Linked DNA regions of Caenorhabditis elegans. The protein of the gene in region 1 purifies or fractionates together with the protein of each later gene. This does not show direct contact. Each region holds a gene or a part of one and is shown in the gene's direction. Other genes may lie near its edges.

Region 1 (6,183 bases):
GAAACTCATACCTGAACTTGAACTGCAATTTACTCTTGATTTTCTAGAGTATTCCTGCTGCCTAAAAATGTTTCTTGAAGGAGGACCAACGGTTTAGACGATTTTGAACGTATAAGACTACGATGGGCTCAAATGAACAGATTTCGGAATAAAACTTTTCAAAAAACTTTCAAAAATACTTTTTTTGTGTCGCATTTGCCCGAAATTAACTTTTTAAGTTATCATTCTTTACTGCATATTTTGGCAGTTTATCTCATTTAATTTCGTTGATTAAGGGACATTTAAAGCCAATAGGTAACCAAAAATCATCGAAATTAGTTTCCTATTGGCTTTAAATGTACCTTCTTCAACAAAATAACGGGAGATAAACTACCAAAATATGCAATAAATGACAATAATGCAAAAATGTCAACTTCAGACCGCTAAACTAATTTTTAAAAGGTATTCATCAATGTTATTAGAAAATTCAGTTTTTATATTGTAAATGATATGTTTGATATGTATTAGTTGACCGCATTATACATTTTTTGGTCCAAATTATCATTTTGTTAAAATTTGGTATCAGAAAAAATAAAATCTCAACGTCCGTCTTTAATAATCTAAAAACTTCTCATTACATTTTTAATATATTGATTTTTATTTTCAGAATGACAAAGGTTTTGACAAAAAGATCTTCGAAAAGCAAATGTCTGTGATGCGTGGACAAATTTTCAATTTGCGAGAAGCATTGATGAAGAAAAAGAGCCCTTACCAGCTCATTCAGGTACACATTCTGATTTTTTTTTTCAAAATATCAAATTTCAAATTTCTAGATGCCACCTCAATTGATGGTTGAAGTCAAGCAAAAGAAGAAGAAGTCAAGACGATCACGTAACGCTGATTACGAAGAGGCGCCGAATTATGATTGTATGGGTGTCGTTTAATTAATATATATTTTATTAGCGGAAAAATATTTGTGCTGTTTGTTTTTTTTTTTTTGGAGAAACTTTATTCACAATGAATAGGCCAATCAATTTTGCAGCGGACGCTTCAACCGTGGTAAACACATCTGGCAACGTTGATGTTGAGCAGCCCGGTCCTTCCACGTCGGCTGCCGCTGCAGCTACTGCTGGCCCATCAACTTCGGACGCCGGAGCAGCATCATCGACTGGTGGCTCCAAATCGTGGCAGGAAACATATGAGCAAAAAGTGCAAACGAAAGCCCCGTTCTTCCGTTGGTGGTGATTCACGATTTCAATTTTAAACATTTTTTTTCCACGTCTATCATTTCTTTCCCCGCTAAACATTTTTCCCCTTCCTCGAGTCAAGTTGCTCTTCTCTTGACAAGTAGTTGATCTTCCATCGATTCGAACTCGGTTATATCTTAAACTAACCAATATTGTGTGTTGTATTTTTGTATTTTTCTAGCTTTATTCGTTTTCCATCATTTCTAAATTCCTATTCCAATTCTACCTGATTTGTGAAATTCCCCCCAATCATTTTCTCACAAGGTTCGTATTTTTGTCAGTTGTGTTGTGTTCGTGGTCCCCTCTTCCCGTTTGACATATATTTGTGAATGAATAACTTTTCTACAAATTTCTTTATTTATTTGTATCGTTCCATTATAACAATATCTGTTCGAACTATTCACCTTTATCTTTTATGTGTATTCGGTTCTTTTTGTTTTCGTTCCTCCTAACTGGGTAAGTGGGCCGCGCGCACGAGTGAAAAGATGTGATGTCCCTTTCCCCCGCGGTCCGGGGTGATAATCAGAGGCGCGTACAGGCCGATTTAGTTCTATGTAAGATATGGTTAAACAGATAAGTTGTATGATGGTTGAGGTAAGAAATGATTTGGGGTCACCGGCCGGCACGCCGCATTTCTAGGGTCGACACCACAGGCAAAAGACGAGATCTTTTTTGATGACGTGTTCCAGGCGGAGACGACAGCTGTGAAACAGAAGAAGATTCTCGAACGGTCCACACAACTGCTGCACGACGGCTCATCTATTTAAACCCTGCAGACGTGTGTCGCGCCGCTGACCGATTGACCAGACGTCTTTCCATTGACTTTCATTTGTTTATTCAAAGTAAGAATTCTATATAAACTAACTAGCCTCGGATTGTTTATTCTACTGTGAATCTTTAAGCAACCTTCACGGCAATGGGAGGCTTCTAGTTTGAGGTTTTCTTAACACTAGACATAGTATTTATGTGTACTGATAAGTTCTAGATCCCTGTTACGAATTTCATGTAGAACGTTCTACGTTTGAGGTTTTTGAAACTTGTATGAGTTCTCTCAATTCTCACTGAACAAAATTTCGAGAAAAGAAATTTGAAGAACATCTAGGAGAAGAACTACAAACTCATCCCAACAAGTGACTCGAGATTTGTACACGTGGCTCTCTTTTTCTTTCTGTGGACGAATGTGTGTGTGTGTGTGTCTCGGGGTTGTTCTACTCCCGCCGCAGTCTTTCTCTCTTTACCAGGCCATTGTCTGCCGCCTCCGCCCTCCCGCATAGTCTCTCCAATGTTTTAACTTAACCTCTGACTGCGTCTCCCGGTACACTGTACTCTCTGCTCTGAGAAATCGGCAGCCCCGGCAGGCACTGACCCCCATTTTGTGATGACCATCTCTCTCTCTCTCTCTTACAAGAGGGTTTCTTTTCCTCGCTCACTTCTTGCTAAAACTGTAGTATCCTGAACTGCATAGGTAGCCGAGAAGAAGTCACCGAATTTTCTCTTGATTCGCTTCGTTTGCAGCGTTCTCTTGATCATTTTTATTTCCATGAAGAAATCAAGAAATAACATTTATTTATATCTTATGCTACGTGTACTAATCTTTAGAACGAAACCCCTCCTCTTGAAACATTTAAACCCTGTGAAATCATAAGAGTAGCCTCTGGCTAACGTATAGGCATCGAATTTGTTTGCGTGAGCAGCAATATGAGGTATTGAGAAACTGTCAACACTGGCGGGTGAGATTGACAGTTCGCAAGCAGGCCAACTCACTCCTTCCAATCGGGCGTCTGTCCGTAGTTTTGGGCTGTCTTCCATCTTTCTGCCTTCAGACAATCGCTAGACGGTGCATAAAAAGTGTTCCCGATTGCTTGACCTATTTATGTATATCCTTTTAAAGAGCCGTCAGTATTCCCCACTTCACATCGTAATTGTTAATTAGTACACACTTATCCTATGTTTTGTATTCTCAATTGTTTTTGTTTCAAAAATGATTTATTTTTAATTTCAGGTAGTAGGATCTGGACATGAAGGTTCTTCTCTTCGTTGGTCTCCTCGCAGCCACCGCGCTTGCTTCCCATCACTCATCCGATCCATCGAAAGATGGTGAACATTTCAAGGTAATTTGCAGTTTTACGCATAATCTTTTACAAATATCTGTTCTGTTATTTTTAGGGAAAGGAACATGACAAGAAGTACGATCACGAGCAGTTCCTCGGAAAAGACACCGCTGCTGAATTTGATGAATTAACACCAGAAAAGTCAAAGGAGAAGCTTGCGTATGTTCTTTTAAAGTCTCATGACCTTCAAATCAACGTCTATTATTTTCAGCAAGCTCGTTCCAAAGATGGATGCTGACAGCGATGGCTTCATCGAGGAGAACGAGCTCAAGGATCACATCAACTTCATGCAAAAGAGATACGTCAACAACGACGTGGACCGTACCTGGAAGAACTACAAGGCCGAGAAGATTGTCGACGGAAAGATCAAGTGGGAAGACTACAGAGAGATGGTCTACGGATCTGCTGACGGAGCTGGCCAGGAGCTTTCTCCAGAATACGCTAAAATGATCGCACGTGACGAGAAGAGATGGGCTGTTGCCGACTACGACTCAAACGGAGCCCTCGACAGAACCGAATACGGTTGCTTCATGCATCCAGAAGACTGTGATCACATGAGAGACGTTGTCGTCGCCGAGACTGTCGATGATATTGATAAGAACAAGGACGGATCTGTGGATCTTGATGAGTACATTGGAGATATGTATAGACCAGATGATTACCCAGAGTTGAATGGAAAAGAACCAGACTGGGTTCAATCTGAGCGCGAAATGTTCAAGGAGCACAGAGACAAGGACGGAGATGGAAAACTCAATCAGGTATAATAATGTCTATAATATGATGTCTAATTAATAATGATTATATTTCAGGAGGAGATGCGCGATTGGATTATGCCAGTTGGATTCGACCACGCCGAGGCTGAGGCTCGTCACTTGGTTGGAATCGCCGATGACAACAAAGACGGAAAACTGAATCTCGATGAAATCGTCGCCCACTACGACACATTCGTCGGATCCCAGGCCACCGACTACGGAGAGCAACTCCAGAAACACGACCCAGCCGAGCTCTAAAATTTTTGTTTTTCTCCAAACAGTATTACGCGAAAATTCTCATTTGAGATCTGTTAGTAATAATAATGTGTGACTGGTCTTCGAAACTCATTCTTACTTAACAAAAAATGTTCACTGTTCTTATTTATCTCATTATTGTTTGCCTTTTTCAATGTCATAAGTATATAATTTTCAAGCGCATGCATTTTTGAATTTTTCGGATTTTTCGAATTTTACTGGTTTTAATAATTATCAACAAATAAAAGTTTATGCATTCAAAAATCCAATTCCTTACAGAACAACGGAAGGTTAATGAAATAATTTAGTGTGTCAAATGTGTACGACTTCGCCATGTCTTCGCACAGCGGACGTGGCGACGATCATGACGGTGTTGACCCCTTGATGATTTTCCTTTCATAGTCGCATCTCTGTCTCTCTTTCCGCAGGGAAATCTTCAAATCGGTTCTGTCCTAATTTTTCTTCGCCATAGTAATGCATAGCCCATTCATCCAAGTGTTATTCTTGTTTCTGATTATTGATCGATTAGCTTTAGCGTTCGATGTTCCGTGTGCACGTGAGTCAATTTGAATGTTTTATATCGTAGTTGTATGAAACATTGAGCTAATACATGTATACTGGTTCTTGGAATTGAAAATTTTTCTTATTATATATTTGAATAATGCCTATAATTTGTGAAAATTTCAGAAAAATTCTAACTTTATTACAATTAAATAACGAAATAATAAAGTTTTGAAATCCTAAAATCGCTTATTTTCAGAATTTCTATTTAATATTTCCAAATTGTATCATGGCTTATTTTTGTTTGAAGGCAGTGTATGTAGTTTTTGAAAAGTACTCTTGAACTGTAAAAACAACTTGCAAATTTTTAAGGTCATTTGACATAACAATGGTTACATGTTGTTCTATTGATTTAGTGAATTCGTTGAAAAATTCAAAATTGGCTTCAAATAAATTGAAATTCAAGCCAATCAGCTAGTTTACCAGACTAAAAGAAAACTCTAAATTGCACTGAAATGATGGAAATGAAAAATCTTCAGGAAGTGTCTGAAAATGTCTTTTTTTTTTGTTTAGTTTAGAGCTGTTTTTTTTTAACCTAGAAATTAATAATTTAACAATGCAATTAGGCTCGAAAACATGAATCAAAAGCTTTCGAATATTCAAAAAAAAACATCAGTCGTTAAAAAGCCGCTCCTTCAGTTGTACAATGCCCAAATGTCATAGTAAAACTTTCCAAAAATGTTTTGATTTTTTCAAAATTACATTTAAATTATTTTCCTACGAGTTTTATATTCTTACCCAGGATATTCAATCTGTAGCAATTCTTAAATTTACTCAAAAAGTTCACATTTTTGGAAACTTTGATCAAAAATTTTGAACAATTCAAAATCTTTTAGAAGTTTTTTATCATGATATTTGGCCATGCTAGATTATACTACGTAACCTTTAATATGATTGAACTATCATAATTTATAGATAGGAAAGCAGTTTTCTCAGTCCCCCACACTTCAACAAAAATATGTTTATTTTTTTCAGAAAAGCTTATTGGAAGTGACTGCCTATTTGATGAAGAATGCTATGGAATGAACTCAGTGTGCAGAAACTCCCGATGTACCTGCCCCACAAACTTTGAAGAATACGACATCGATGAACGAACGACAATTTGCCGATTAGGTGACATCATAATTTTCCTCGTTTTTTTTTGTCTCTTTGGTTTTAGACTTCTTACAGTTCTCAAATGATTCACCGAACCGAACCGGTCTTTTGCCTCTTGTTGTATAAATTAGCTTTTGCTTTCAGCACCCGCCAAAATCGGAGATTCCTGTCAACGCGATTGCA
Region 2 (5,595 bases), on another chromosome or scaffold:
GAAACCGTCCCAAAAATAAATATTAATCGAATTTGATTTAAAAACTTTGATGCAGGTTTTATTGATTGGCATTCTCTTTTAAAAATATTTTTCTGCTGTTATAACTGTTAGCTTTTCAGTGACAAAAAACATAGCTTAATCCCATTAATTTTGCAAAAGTCTGATCTGTTTGATGAACTCAGATTTGCGAGCATTGTCTCCTCCATTCAACAGTCGCCGACGCCTCGTAATTGTGTAGCGGCGTGAGCGATTCTCTCGAAATTATGATAAGCAAACAAGGGTGAACATGCAAAAGCCGCTTCTTCTCTTTTCTTTATATTCTTTCCGTTCTTGGCCACATTGCGCGTCCTTTTTCTGTTTTACTCTCTAGCCTTCCGAATGAGAGTACACCACGGTTTTTTGCTTACTTTTTTGATTACTGGCTCTTGCTCAAATTGTTTGTGGGCATTTTCGCCTCCTTTTCACATCGTTTAGTCATTTTTCTTCCTCAATTGTCGTTGATAACACTTTTTGTTTTGGGAGGTTCCCATTGTTACAAATGTTTTTTTTTTGAAAACAAATTTGTTTCTGGAATTCTATTATGTAATTCTACATCGAATGTTTGCCAGTCGATGATATAATCAGTTTACTACGTTTACGTGTGTAACATTCTAATGGTCTGACTGTAACGATTGTCAACGAAATGATAGTGAGCAAAAATTGAAATATTCAGGTCAGATAGTATTGGTATATTTGGTAGTTAGGGATCAGACAGAATTTTTTGTGGAATTCAAGTTTGAATTTTTTAAATTCCCATTTTTATGAATAAAATGAATGAAATTGATCGATCTAATGCACAGATGTGAAATGACTACTGTATTTTACCATTATTTGAAAACGTTTGAATTATGTTTCCAAAACGCTATTCTCACTTCAAAGACTGAATTTTCTGCCATAATTCAAGAACTAGACCAATAAGTAATATTTTGCCTAGGTTGATCCTTAAAGAGTAAACATGAAATTTTTTATAATGTTTCAAAAATAAATAAATGATGGTCATCACTTGAAGTTTTTGTTTTGGAAGTATGTTCACACTGTTCAAAACGACCTTACCCGAATCGCCTGTCAGAGTATTTTTTTTGGAAAATAGGAGTACGAGTGGTGTTTTTCAATGATAAAATATAAGCTTCTCGGTAATCATTTTCATAGACGCTTACGTTGCAACTTTTCCGAAAACTGACCATTACCCTATTCCACAAGTTTTTCTTTCATTTCTTTCTTTTTACCGTCCTTTCTGTTCATCTCCAGTCCCGACCTTTTATTTCAAATGGATAGATTCAAAAACGCACGTTTACTTTGCACTTTTTGATTGTTCTTTTGCAATACTACAGTAAATCGTGTGAGCAACCTTTTATGGCAACCAACACCGCTTTTGCAAACGAGTGGACGTGAGAGCCAGATAATCACCATATCTCTTTTTGTGTGTGTGTATTGATGCCGACTTTCCTTCAAAAAAGTCAAAAGACATGTTGTCGGAGAGTTACAAAAGAGCAACTCGTCATTCCTGATGAGCACACTTCACGCGCCGAGCCAAGCTTTTCAGTCAGTGTTCAGCCGACTTGCCCCACGACCGATGCATGAGCCACTCTGTTCTTCGGAAAACAAAAGTGTCATGGTTGAACAAGGAGCCGCACACTTATTGTACAAGGCATAATTTGAACAAATAATTTCATGTGGCGGGTGGCGACTGTCTCAGCGGCGAGGAAGACCTCCCGGCTCTTTTGTATCGCAAACACGTTCAAATCAGAAAGAAAAGTTGAAGAGCAACGGGAAAGAAAGAGATATGTATGGAGTTGAAATGAGAGTAATGGGGAAAAATATCAATGTTATTCTCTATTCAAACTTTCATAGACTGTGGTGTTTGATCCTTTAGAGTTCTTCTTTTTGAAATTTCATATTCATTCAGATGAACGTATACAAAAATTATGGAAAAAGTCGTAAAAAAGTTTTTAGAATTATCTAAAACACAGAAAATATATTCAAAATATCACTTGAACATCGTTTTCGTAAAAACCATGTACAATAAACATAAAAAGCACTTCGCATGAAAATTTAATTTTTTGACCCTTTTTACTATTTCAAGTCAAGTCTAGACATTTGCAAGATGTCATACCCAACATTTTCTCGTAAGAAATCATTTCTTCAACCTACTTGACTTGGTAATTCAACCGTTTTTCACACATTTACCATCCTCATCTCTTCTATTCTTGTCCTTTTCTTTCGTTTTCTTTGCGCACGTATCGTAATCTCGTGTTATGCAAAATAGGGGTACTTGTTAATGCAGACGTTGTGGTTTCATACCTCTCTTGATCTTCTCATATTTCTCATATTTTGCAAATTGCCGTCGGCTATATTACTTTGATGTCCCAGACGATATCTCATGATTTTGTTTAGAAAAATCTATTTTTGATCGTAAATTTGTAAAAATAAAATGGTAGCCGATGGTAGATAATGGAAAAATGTTTACGTTGCTTGCTTTTTAACAACGGGGATATTGAAGGTTAGGAGTGAGAAATGTGTCATCAAGGATTCTTTTTGTAACTTTACTCTAGACTGTTGGAAGGGCAGAGGTTTTAAGAAAAAGAATATGACAAATAGAACTTGAAACGTAGGATGTGAAACATCTGATCGTAATAGTCCGAAATTCACAACTCAGCGGGTTCAGTTTCATATAAGATAAAATACAATATTGATTTTAAGGGCATCTTCTTCTTTTTTCCTAACTGTATCAAATTTTTATCAAACCTATTTGCTCAAATATTCTTCCTTTTCATGTTTGAAAGTTTTAAAAGTTTTCCGTTCGACCTCACTTTTTTCCTCCTTTTCTGTCCTTTGAAACTATCTTGCTCGTTCTCGCCTTTTCTCAATTTAAAAAATGCTCATCTGCCACATACCTCTTCTATGTTCTCTGTCTCTTCATCTCAAACATTGTCTCTACTTGACACTTTGCCTGACACCATCTCAATGTGTGTTGGCCGTGTGTATGAAAGAGGCGTGGTTTGAGTCTGTCTGGAGGAAACCATGTTGTCTTTTTCATTTTTCCGTGCCCTCTCTTCATTGTAAAATATTTATGAAGAAACATTATTTTAACTTCAGAATGAGGAAGCCACTGGTGGTATTGCTGTTGATACTGGTGACAACGGTGGAGAGTCGATTCGTGGACAAAATGGTCAATTCAGAAATTGGAGACACCTATTACAAACACGAATCGGATCCAATAGTAAGCTCTTTTCAAAAAATTTGCTTCAATGAGTGAAAACTAGTAATCTGAAGAAGAAATACATTGTCCGAAATTTAGAAGTGAACTAGCGAAGTCTCTGTTTTTTTTTATTTTATTTTATTGTTGCAGCCTTCTTATAGAAGGAATTTTCTAATTTTAAACAAATGTTATATTACTTATTTTCTAGATGATCGACGACAAAGATGACGCACCTCAATACGAAGTAAATTCGGAAGAAGTTCCAACTTTGCCACGTATGAATAGTCAGACCAAATGGGAAATGATTCGTGCCAGTGGACAAGATCCAACAGTCCGTCGTAGAAAAAACAAGCAGCATCGTCAGCAGAAAGTCGTCCTTGGACGTGAACGTCGTGACTTGATCCTTGCTCCATGGAGAATCACTCATGTTGTTCCGAAAAAGAAAGAAGCTGAAGTTCCAAAGAAAGCAATGGCTCTGTCATTTGATGTCTGTCCTGAAAAATTCGATGCAATTACAAAGGGAATCAATGGAAGAACCTATGTTTTTGCTCGCGAAAGGGTTTATCAAATTTGGTTTGAAGACGGACTTCCACAAAAAGCGTCTTACTTGATCAGTGAATTCTTTGCTGGAGGACCGAGAACTGTGACCGCCGCATTGACAAATTCTCGATCTGGAGTCACAATTCTCTTTGATGGACGAACTGCATACAGATTCCGTTGGAACAGAAAACATCGTAGATTCCAGCTGGCGAAAAATACCCCACAAGATCTTCCCCGAAACATCACAATCCATCCATTGTCAGCATTTGAATGGGCCGATGGAAATCAAGTTGTTCTCAGTGTGAGTTGATATCAATCTTAAGAAAACCTTCTTGTCATGGTTGAAATGATTTCAGGGTGAACACTTCATCATCTACGACGCATACTGGAACTTAGCCACATTCACAGGCCACACACGCAAGTATTTCCCAAATCTGCCAAGGGATCTACTGGGAATCGTGTACAACGGAGCTGGAGAAACACTTTTGATGTACACCAAGACAAACAAGTTAAAGGTATTCTTTCCGCAATATTAAAATCTTCGGCAGTCGGCCACTTTTTTCCGCTGGCGATATTCTCAATTAAACAGTACTTATATTTACGAAAATCGGCAGCCCCGTCAATTTCCGATAAGTTTAAATTTTCAGAGAACGCCAATTGCCGAAATTATCGGGAAAATTTATATCTTGAGTTCAGCATACGTATCAGCTTTTAGAGCATTCATAACTCTCTCGATAGCGACTCTATAGTAACAATTTTCAATAGGATTCCAACTTTGCTGTTGAAATATAAATCGATCTTTTATGTTAATTTTTCAGGTTTACAACACGAAGAAGTTCAAAGTAGTACAAGAATATCCGCTGAAACTGTCTGAATTTGTCGGATGTCAAACTAGATGATCTGCTCAATCTGTCTTCATGCCTTTCTATCAAATCTCTCCCATTTCCGATGATCTGATCCTTTCATTCGTTTCCTTCTCAATCTTAAGATCGATCGATTTTGCTTTTTTGCTTTATTTGTTTTTTTTTCTAATTTTGTTTCTTTGCTTACTCACTTTTTATGCCCAATTCAGTTCTGAGCCGGTGTCTTCGAATCAGAATTTCAACTTCCTGTTTCTAACCCAATTAAATCCTAACTCACATTTTAAGTTTTCTACTTATTCCCAACACCCACAGTCTTAAGTTATTTTCCCTTCCTTCACCGCCTTTTCTTAAAAACGTTTTACGTGTATTTTTGTTTTATCTTTTCATGACTTTTTATATTTCAAGTTGTCATTTTCTTCATTTTGCAACAAAAAATAAATCAAATCTTCGCAATAGTTCAGCGTCGTCGACGTCCTAACACAAATTCCATGACATTATCCAGAATGTTATCAGTCATACTTCCAACTCGTCCCATCAGACTATACGACGGCGGAGGATACATCATTGGTGGATAAGGAGGAGGTGGGTACTGGTAATTTGGCAGTGGATCAAATCCTATTGGCCGTTGATTAATTGGTCTGAAATATACTATTATTTCTCAATAACTGTGTCTGCATTACTTTATTAAAAGTGGAATGTAAACTGACAGTTTTCAACTTTTTATTAAAAACTCTGCAAAATAAGCAAAGGTGACTGAAAGGGGCCAAATTTCCATACCATGCACATATGGATTTACTCGGAAATCATTTGTTTTGTGTTTTTTCCTTAAGCGTGATTACATTTTTTCCTTAAGCGTGATTACATGTTTTTTTTCACGGAAAGAACACTTTCGACATAATTTGTCTAAATACATTCATATGCTGTAGAAATTCGGCTCAATCTACTTGTTTACGT
Region 3 (5,311 bases), on another chromosome or scaffold:
TTTACGGCGCGTTGCGTGTCGCGTCGCGGCTCGATTTTAGTTGTAAAACTAAGAGCATTTATCCGGGTGGAGTATACACGACTTTGCCCGGCGGACGATTGTCAATAGAGCGCGAAAAATTCAATGAGGAAGGCCAGAACCCCGCGCAAAAATTGTCGAATATCCCCCCATCGAAAACAACACAGGGCGTGGCTTAGCTGTTTTGGTACCGCTCCACCGCTTCACGACCCGCCCATTTTAGAGTAAGTGTTCCCTCCCGTTGGCCCTCTTTTTGCCTTTTCTGACTCACTTACCACCGTGTATATAAGGTGTGCACGGTTTTTGATAAAATATGAGTCAGCGCATTGTCGATTTCTCCCCGTTTTTATTGATTTTTTTAATAGCGGTTCATTTTGTCGTGAGAATTAGTTCTTGTAAACCTTGGCACGGGCCTTCCTCATTGAAAATTTTGCGCTCCATTGGCAATCGCCCGCCGGACAATGCGTGGGAAAGTCGTGAATACATTCAGTTTTACAACTAAAATCGAGCCGCGACGCGCCATAAATCTACCCCAGATATGGCCGAGCCAAAATGGCCTAGTTCGGCAAACTCTTCCATTTCCATTTTTTCGAGTTCCAACATTGTCGGTTTCGATAATCTTCCTTCCTTCTCCACCGTCGTCCGTCGTCAATGCATTATTTCTAATGCCGCACCGACGCATTGCGCACACCACCAGTCGGTCGTCCACCACCACACTGACTGCAGCAGCCAGCCAGCAACTGAAACAGCAGTATTCAGGCATGGGCGCTCTGGCGGGAGAAATAGAGAAATTGAGCATCATCGAGAGAGAGAGGGAGTGCGACGAATGAAATTGCACACACACACGCGCACACTCTGCTTAAACGGGCATCATTTCATGTGCCTGGGCAATAGAAACAACCGATGTTTCATTTTTCCTGAAAAATGCTTCTTCGTTGTTTTTACCGACTTTCTGAGCCGCTTCGTTAGAAAACCTCGAAACCCCCCGAGATTTCCGCCAAATATTTGTCCAGCGTTCGTATAGATATTTGAGGAGGCTCGAGAGATCCAACAAATTGAGAAACGAAGGTGTAACGAGAAAAAAAACAGAGTCTGTTTGCTAAATCATGTGATTCATTGATTTTTCAACTCGTCAAATAGGTTTTCGCAACTATTTTTCCATATTCTCGTGATTTATCATTCTGTAAAAACATTTCTTAGGTCTCTTTTGATTGTTTATTCCCTTTTCCTGGTTTCCCATTATAGGTTAAAACCTGAAAACCCTTGCGCCGGGTCGGATTATGCTTTAGTTTTCACCGCCGCTCCGTTTCGCGCGCGCGCTTATATAATCCCCTTGTACAGCAGCCCTTTTTCGTATTAATGTTCCATATCGAAAATGCGCTCCGCTGAGAATTGGTCGGCTTTTTTTGTTGTTGACGCGGTGTCTGCTGATGTTCTTTCGGACGTATGATGAGATGAAGGAAGAACTAGTTTTTGTGTTCAGACTTCTTCATTGACGAACACGTCTCCGTTCTTTTCTTGTTGCGGTGGTGGTGGTGGTCGTCGCAGATGAATAAGACGTTGGCCGTTTTCGCTACACCCCCCCCCCCCCCCCTCCCCATCCCCCAATTTCAACTTCTCGTTTTGCGTGCAAAACAAGAGGAAATTGAAGTATTGTGGGGATAATTCGATAACCAGAACACGCACACACACTGACCCCTATCTTCTCTCTTTTTTGTTGTTTCATTTCTTTTCCTTCCGCAAGACGTCTCGGCCATCAGAGTTTTCCGATTATTATGTGTAATGGAATATCCGCAGGGGATCTTTGATCTACCCACTGGAAATTTGTTTTTTTTTGGTGGATTTTTGACAGAAATCACGCGCTCTCCTCAAAGCCGAATAATTTTCTACGTTTCGCATTTCTGCATCCGCGGTGTTTTGCCTTTCCACACGTTGTGTCAGAGTGTCTCATTCCGGCTTGATCTACAAAGATCTACAAAAAATGCGGGAGAAGAGACAACAGAGTTCTCAACTGATTTTGCATTGTTAAGAACGTGCTGACATCACATTTATTGGGCAAAATTCCCGCATTTTTTGTAGATCAAACCGTAATGGGACAGCCCAGCCTGGCACCACGTGTTTCCACTGAAAGTAGATGTTTTTTTTTCAGCATTTCACGGACAAACCTATTGCTAGACAGTGAACATCGAAATTAAAATGACTAAAATGAACTTTTTTCGTCTACTGGTTGTGAAAAGGTTTGAAATTGAAAAAATCAACGAGATTTTTCTTATTTTCTAAATATTTTCCTATTAAAAATTGATTTTAATCCATTTGTGACCTTACTTTAGAGTCAAAAGTGGTTTAAAACCGATTTTCGATAGAAAAATAGATTCAGAAAATAACAAAAAAAAATATCCCGCTGATTTTTTCAACTTTTTCTCAACCAGTGGACGAAAAAAGTTGATTTTCGTCATTTTGGTTTGTTCCTAAGATTCAATAAATCTGATTTTTTCAGTGGACAGGCAAAAACATCGCGGATGCAGAAACGCAAAGCGCGTAGCAAGCGCGCTCTAATAATAATTCGGCTTTGAGGAGAGTGAAATCGCTAAATATTTCCAATTCGACAAAATCAACCTTTGATTTCGTCTCCTTCTCTCTTCATTTCGAAATATAAAATTTGTACCTATCGTTGGCTTATCAGTCAGTAAATTCTCTCTAGTTCTTCTCTATTTTCTCTCTTTTCTCTCTTTTTTCGATTATTCTCTCCGATTTTTTCTCTCTCGTCACCGTTTCACCCACCGGTATTCATCATTGTTTACGTCGTTCCGCTCGCTTTCAAACAATTTATATTGATTTTAATTAATTAATTAATTATCCTTTTTCATTTTTCAGGGTTTTCTAACAACACCCCCTGCACAGCGAAAGCAAGATGGCCGATCAACTGACCGAGGAGCAAATTGCCGGTACTTTTTTAAATTCTGATTGATGGACGGAGGACCGGGAGATTGAAGAAATCTAATCCTCTCTCATTTCGAAGCGAATTGAGCAGAAACCAAGCGGCGCGGCGTAGAAATTTAAATTTAATGGATGAAACATTAGCCGTAGCAGCAGATGTATAGCGCCACTATTTTTGTGTGTTTTATTCCAGATGTTGGCTGGTTCTCGCGGCGAAAAATCTATCAACAATTGTATAAAAAACTACAAAATTCGAGAAAAAACCAAATCAATTTTGCCAAATTTTCAGAGTTCAAGGAGGCATTCAGTTTGTTCGACAAGGACGGCGATGGCACAATCACCACCAAGGAATTGGGAACTGTTATGCGGTCTTTGGGACAAAATCCGACTGAAGCCGAGCTTCAGGACATGATCAACGAAGTGGACGCTGACGGAAACGGAACCATCGATTTCCCAGAGTTCTTGACGATGATGGCCCGCAAGATGAAGGACACGGACAGTGAGGAGGAGATTCGTGAGGCGTTCCGAGTAAGAGATTTGTGGAAATTTATAAATTCATTTTTGATTCACTATAGAGAAGCCTCATGTAGTATAGAAAATCTCATTCAAATCTTCCTATTTGCAGGTTTTCGACAAGGACGGAAATGGCTTCATCTCGGCCGCTGAACTGCGCCACGTCATGACCAACTTGGGAGAGAAGCTAACGGACGAAGAGGTCGACGAGATGATCCGTGAAGCCGATATCGACGGAGATGGACAAGTCAATTATGAGGGTGAGTCCTTACAAGACCTTTTTTTTTCGAAATTTCATCAAATTTCCCATATTTCAGAGTTCGTCACCATGATGACAACCAAGTAAATCACACCAATCGGGATCTGAAGCCGCCGTATCGTTTGCGAATCACCAACACCTTTTCTCTCACCTTTCGTTTTTTTATTCTTCCCCGCTTGAAAATTGTGATTTCGCTCTCGAGCCCCAAAAAAAAATTGCCAAGCCCAGTCAAAAAATGCTATAAATGATGTAATTTATGTTCAAATTTAAGTTTTTTTGCCTCTTTTTTGACAGACGTGCTCTCAACCTAATTTTGTTTTTTTCTTAGAATGTGAAACTCATTTATAAGTCATTTTTTTCTTATTTCCTCTTTACAATGATTGAGTTTCTTCTTCTCCTGCCCCTGCCCCCAAATTAAAAAGTCCCGGATCCTCCAGTTCTTGGTCGCCTGCCCCGGCTTGACCCTTCCTCAAAATAATGCCTCCAACCTGTAAAACCCCATAAAAAAATTTAAAAAACTTAAAAAAAACCGCTGGCTTCTTCTTTTCCCACTTGGTATTTTTCTCATATTTTCTCTTCTTCCAAATTGTTCTTCCCAAAAAATGTATTCCAAACTCGAAAATCTTTCTTTCCTCTCTCTTTCCCCCTCAACCATTTATAGAAAGTGTAGAAAATTCCCTCTTTTCGCACCACACACACACCGTCACACGGGCCATTTTAAAATTGTACCTGAAATATTTTCTGTTGCTTTGAATTTCGATTTCGACAAGCAACGGCAAAAAATTTTGGCGCCTAGTGAACACTTTTTGCACCATTGCTTTCTTTTTTTTTGTTTTGGATTTTTTCTTTGAAAATTCCTATTTTATATTATTGTAAAAGTCAAAGTCTCCAAAATCCTTTAATAATTTAATTCCATTCTTCCCAACCAACCCACCACCACCACCGTCTCTATAATCTCTGAACAATTCAAATTTTTATCTCTGATTATCTCGCTTCTCTCGTCCCTTGATGCGAACTTATTCAACAAAAAAAAAAGAAAATCTTCAAATGAAACTTGATTTTTTTTGAATGCTTTGGGGTTTTTCAATCAAAAAGTCAATTTAAAAATTAAAAAGAACAATTTTATTTTTTTGAAAAAAAACTTCTCACATCATCGAAATAGGTGCTCCGACGGTGGACATTTGAAGTTGATCGGCTTGCTGCTGATTATCGACGACAAAGACGGAAAGGTTCACATTTTTTTGCCGGAAAAAATCGATTATAATGAAGCCGAGTTGTCGTCTGAAAATTGAAAAAGTTGAAAAGCGGCAGGCTCCACCCCCAAACGTTGGGTCTCGTTAGGTATTGACGGCAAACATGATGATTCAATATTAAAGGACCACAAAACACTGCTACTGCGTATCGCACAACATATTTGACGCGCAGAATATCTCGCAGCGAAGTCTACAGTAACCCCTTAAATTACTACTGTTACTACTGTTACTACTGTGTCGATTTACGGGCTCGATTTTCGAAATGAATTTATTTTCGAATAGTAGTGACAGTTTTTTTTGCATTATTTGATAAATTTCAATATTTTAGCAA

Evidence for each region. The genes of interacting proteins can lie anywhere in the genome.
Region 2: the proteins of calu-1 (region 1) and K03B8.6 fractionate together in Caenorhabditis elegans (co-fractionation; one large-scale study listed by BioGRID). This does not show direct contact.
Region 3: the proteins of calu-1 (region 1) and cmd-1 fractionate together in Caenorhabditis elegans (co-fractionation; one large-scale study listed by BioGRID). This does not show direct contact.

The regions. Positions count from the first base shown.
Region 1 is NC_003284.9:4,967,957-4,974,139, reverse strand, and holds calu-1 (Reticulocalbin-3), read left to right. Parts: upstream 1-3,228; 5' UTR 3,229-3,244; coding exon 3,245-3,337; intron 3,338-3,392; coding exon 3,393-3,496; coding exon of another isoform or gene 3,497-3,548; coding exon 3,549-4,095; intron 4,096-4,146; coding exon 4,147-4,347; 3' UTR 4,348-4,606; downstream 4,607-6,183. Other genes in the region: ZC8.6 (Phosphatidylinositol 4-kinase type 2), read left to right, coding at 647-763, 813-906, 1,022-1,224; M03F4.6 (EB domain-containing protein), read left to right, coding at 4,819-4,900, 5,881-6,018, 6,145-6,183.
Region 2 is NC_003283.11:11,404,449-11,410,043, forward strand, and holds K03B8.6 (uncharacterized protein), read left to right. Parts: upstream 1-3,135; 5' UTR 3,136-3,136; coding exon 3,137-3,259; intron 3,260-3,446; coding exon 3,447-4,079; intron 4,080-4,134; coding exon 4,135-4,293; intron 4,294-4,596; coding exon 4,597-4,677; 3' UTR 4,678-5,095; downstream 5,096-5,595. Other genes in the region: K03B8.8 (Conserved secreted protein), read right to left, coding at 5,099-5,279.
Region 3 is NC_003283.11:1,153,379-1,158,689, forward strand, and holds cmd-1 (Calmodulin), read left to right. Parts: upstream 1-2,892; 5' UTR 2,893-2,929; coding exon 2,930-2,963; intron 2,964-3,244; coding exon 3,245-3,483; intron 3,484-3,580; coding exon 3,581-3,728; intron 3,729-3,785; coding exon 3,786-3,814; 3' UTR 3,815-4,811; downstream 4,812-5,311. Other genes in the region: T21H3.5 (Serpentine Receptor, class H), read right to left, coding at 4,873-5,008. UniProt on the Caenorhabditis elegans protein: Calmodulin mediates the control of a large number of enzymes, ion channels and other proteins by Ca(2+). Among the enzymes to be stimulated by the calmodulin-Ca(2+) complex are a number of protein kinases and phosphatases.